Linked DNA regions of Kluyveromyces lactis. The protein of the gene in region 1 interacts with the protein of each later gene in a pairwise test. Links are inferred from orthologs where the notes say so. Each region holds a gene or a part of one and is shown in the gene's direction. Other genes may lie near its edges.

Region 1 (2,186 bases):
AAATTCGCTTTCAACTGCATCATTCCACGTTCGAGACGAATCTTTCTTTTCTTATGGAGTCATGGTAAGCTGACTCAAAAAAGAGAGACACAGAGAGTGGGAAAGAAAAACCACTCTCACGTGACATCCACGTGTATATCACGTGGATGAAAGATTCCGGAACGAAAATAGATTTTCCGGACATTGCTGCCTGGATTTCTGTGCGGCTGAAGTAATCATCGAGGGGCATCGACCGTAACCTTTGATACCGAGTTCTTGGAATACGAAAGAAAATCGGTCTTGACTCACATCCGTGGAAGGAGTATCTGTATATAAAGGACGACCAAGGTCGTCCCTTGCTCATTAATGCGTCCATTCGCAGGCTTAGACAATATCACGAGAGTACAAAATCCTTAAGCAATACAGAAGAGTCACGCACGCCCCGTAATGACAAAATCATACAGATCTAGAACAGGAATAAGAACCAAGAGACAGACCAGAAGACTTGCACCTCCGTCCCAGCAAGCAAAGGAACCAGATAGGAACGTCCTACCAACTTACCAATATCATAACCAGTACGAGAACCAGTTCGAGCCGGTACCGATAACGTTCTACTATGTCGTCTTCCCACAGGGTGAATCACAAAATGAGCCCGATGGTGGAACGAACAATTCCCAGACGCATCCGAATCCACTTCCATAGCCATAGAACACTTTACGCTACTGACAGCAGGGCATATTGCCTATCATCTAAGCATATATGTATATAATTTTGTATCTTTTGAGTATGAATGAATGAATTATTAGTTTTAACGTTACCCTGCCGTGAATTTTCATAGAAATTTTTCAATATTGAAACTGGAACTGGCAAAGTTAGACATCATACACCATGAGATAACTGGTCTTCAGGTCTGTAATGATTGTATGCTTGATCTCTGCATTTAAGATTCATTATCAGAATTAGAGAATCTACATCACTCGTGGGAGAAAGAAGGTGAAAGATAGGGCTATCTACTTTTTTTTTTTGGCAGCTAATATCAAGGACATAGAGCGATATTGGAGCTTAAACTGAATTCTCGGATCAAGGCAAATATAATCTAGAATAATACAAATATGTCTGCTGATCATTCGAGGGATCCTTGTCCTATTGTGATTCTTAACGATTTCGGTGGTGCCTTTGCTATGGGTGTCATTGGTGGTTGTGTTTGGCATGGTATCAAGGGTTTCCGTAACTCTCCACTAGGTGAAAGAAGAGCTGGTGCTGTCAGTGCAATTAAGGCCAGAGCACCAGTTGTCGGTGGTAACTTCGGTGTATGGGGTGGTTTGTTTTCTACTTTTGACTGTGGTGTTAAGGCCGTGAGGAAAAGAGAAGATCCATGGAATGCTATTATTGCCGGTTTCTTCACCGGTGGTGCTTTGGCTATCAGAGGAGGTTGGAAGCATACCAGAAACTCAGCTATCACTTGTGCATGTTTACTTGGTGTCATTGAAGGTGTTGGTTTGATGTTCCAAAGATACGCTGCTTGGCAAGCAAAGCCAATGGCCCCACCTTTGCCAGATCAACCAATGCAAGCTTGAAGATCGGAAGAATAATCAGACTTCCCATTTTCTAAACTTGTTTCGTGCGGTTGCTGCGCTGTACCATACGCTTCTCTTCTTCTTGTTTCTCTATCCATTGCATCAGAGTAACTTAATGACTATATATCTCTTAACGAAAGGAATATTAAACCCATGTACATAAATATCATATATATTTCTGAAAATATCACATTTAATATTGAGAGATGGACTGAACTGCGGTGTGAATGGAATTAAGAACCTATTTTATTCGGTTAATTAGATCGGTATTATACAAAATATCAAGTCAAAATGCTACATATGTGTTTGCTTACATTAGTCGCCAAGTTGTAACTTGTCCAACGCTACAGAGTCGAATTGTAATGAAGGATTACGAGCTGTTTGTGATTTCTTTGGAATGGTACCCGGTGGGTACCACTCCCCTGTGAAAGGTTCTTCTGTGATGAAGGGATGCAAAATGGCCTGTTGTGGGGTCCAACGTTCGAGTGGATTGAGGTTCAACACTCCTCTCAAAAAATGTAACAAGCAGTCCCTGTTCTTTATTTCTCTTTCAACAAGTGCTGGATTCCCAGAAATCCTTTTCGAAATTCTTGCGTTACGAATTATATCATCGAACAATATATGTTTCAC
Region 2 (2,085 bases), on another chromosome or scaffold:
TGCTTTTATTATAGAATTCTCTCCGGACCAGCGAAAACAATATTAACTGGTTCGGAACCGGAGCCGTAACCAGAGTTGCGAAGTATGCGTTTGAAAGTAGGATACAAAAACCTTACGGCGAGATGCAACCTAAATTAGTTTGAACCACCTGCGATACGATTGAATCACGCTTGTTGAGTCCTTGTGTGTCTGTTAGAACCTGTTTTAGTTTCGGAGAAGTCGTTTGTTTCGGTAGAATTAACTACTCAACTTTTCAATTTAAACCGAAATTGAGAGAGAGAGAGAGAGGGGGAACAATGGTAAAAATGAGGGCATGATACATCAAGACGAGCCATCATGAATTTATATATCTCAGGCCATAAGATAGTATGGCCTGAGTACTAAGAGGTATCTCAAGTTTGAAATGGGGATTGGGTGTTGAGTTGCTAATAATTGATCACGTGACCATGACCCCAGATACAAAGCCACGCTCCCAAACTGGATCCCCCCCCTCCTCCCCGTTACAGTACTACGCTAGTACTAGCATGCTGAATTCACATCCCCAATCAATGCAACAGCAGCGTAGCTGCTGTTGCTGGGATCACCTATCGTTTAATTTCTTGATACCTGCGTCGTTTCCGATGCCACATTCTACAATGTGGAATGAGAAGCTAAAACCTCATAAAAATACCCTATAAAAAGCCTGAATGAGCGAATGCAATTACAAACTCCATCTGTAGTCATTGTAGACTAGCTAAATCATTCTAATGAGGCATAGCTGTCAACCAGATATATAGTTATTTGACGGTGTCACAGCAAATATGTGGGGCTGGTCTTGACATCCCCGGGTAACCCCTTCTGTTTTCGAAAAGTCATCGAAAAGTTGAGAACAGAAAGAACTGGAACTAATAACAGCATTAAACACTAAACTACTCATCGGATTAACTTCTAAGCTTTGTCTAAGAACGCCGTTCCAGTTCGAGTAAACTGCGCATATCCAAGAAATACAACAAGACTATAGGATATGGCACACAGAGCGTTTATACAGGTGATTTTCACCGGGGCACAGGTGTTTGGACGTGCGTTTGCGGAATCTTACAGACAAGCAGCAGCTCAAACAGCTAAACAAACGGCAAATGCTTCTAGAGGCCGTGGTGCTAGCGCAGAATACGGAGGTATCACTTTAGATGAGAGTTCTAAGATTTTGAACATTGAGAATGAACAGGATATGAATTTGGATAAAATCAACGAAAGATTCAAGTATTTGTTCGAGATCAACGATAAAGAGAAAGGTGGATCATTCTACTTGCAGAGTAAGATTTACAGGGCAGCAGAGCGTTTGAAGTACGAGCTTGCTGAAAAGGAAAAGGCTGCCAATCCAGAACTGAATCAAGAACAAGCGAAGTCGAGTTCCACGACGGAGTCACCGGAGTTGAAAAAATAGCGTAAGGTCATTCTCTCTGGCCTAGTATAAGTTTTGTAAATAGTTCAAATAAACCGAAATACACGCATCGCATGCTCATCGTATCATGTTCAGCACAATATCATCAGTGGTTGATGAAGCTGATTTATGTCTACAACTAATTAATACAAAAATTCTCTAGAAGATGGGAAAACTGTTCCATCATGAAGAAGGGCACAACGGAGAGTGAAAATCCAAACTCTCAGGCAGCCATTACGCAAAGCCCTCTGGATCACATGCAACACCTGGAAGAACAACTAGAGCGAGCTGTTAAACCGCTTCTAATCATCACTTTCCAGACCTCTTCATAATGGTTAAAAGAAAGAAGTGATGCAAAAAACCGGGAAAAGGAAGAGACTTCCCCTCCCAACTCAATGCGCTTCCAACTTTATTGATCTAAGAAACCGGAAACGAAATGGAAACTGTGGCCAGCTTGTTTGGGGCTAGTCAGGATCCATTCAGCTATGGGTTAAAAAATGGTAACAGTCACTCTTCTCCAGTATTAACTAAAGCCGTTCCTAGATCTCCGAAGAAACCTAGGAAAAACTTCTTGAGAAAAGAGATAACCGAAACCGTAGGTTTCTATGGTGTATATGTGTATTAATATTATCTTGAGATAGTACTAACCACTACTGATGATTGGT

What was found.
Region 2: the proteins of TIM17 (region 1) and PAM16 interact in binary tests that used the Saccharomyces cerevisiae proteins (3 or more experiments, as listed by UniProt). The link is inferred for Kluyveromyces lactis from reciprocal best matches to the Saccharomyces cerevisiae genes TIM17 and PAM16.

What each region holds. Positions count from the first base shown.
Region 1 is NC_006037.1:543,345-545,530, reverse strand, and holds TIM17 (protein transporter TIM17), read left to right. Parts: upstream 1-1,091; coding exon 1,092-1,556; downstream 1,557-2,186. Other genes in the region: KLLA0_A05852g (uncharacterized protein), read left to right, coding at 427-681; serine/threonine protein kinase YAK1, read right to left, coding at 1,872-2,186. UniProt on the Saccharomyces cerevisiae protein: Essential component of the TIM23 complex, a complex that mediates the translocation of transit peptide-containing proteins across the mitochondrial inner membrane.
Region 2 is NC_006042.1:1,283,275-1,285,359, forward strand, and holds PAM16 (import motor complex subunit PAM16), read left to right. Parts: upstream 1-1,003; coding exon 1,004-1,423; downstream 1,424-2,085. UniProt on the Saccharomyces cerevisiae protein: Essential component of the PAM complex, a complex required for the translocation of transit peptide-containing proteins from the inner membrane into the mitochondrial matrix in an ATP-dependent manner.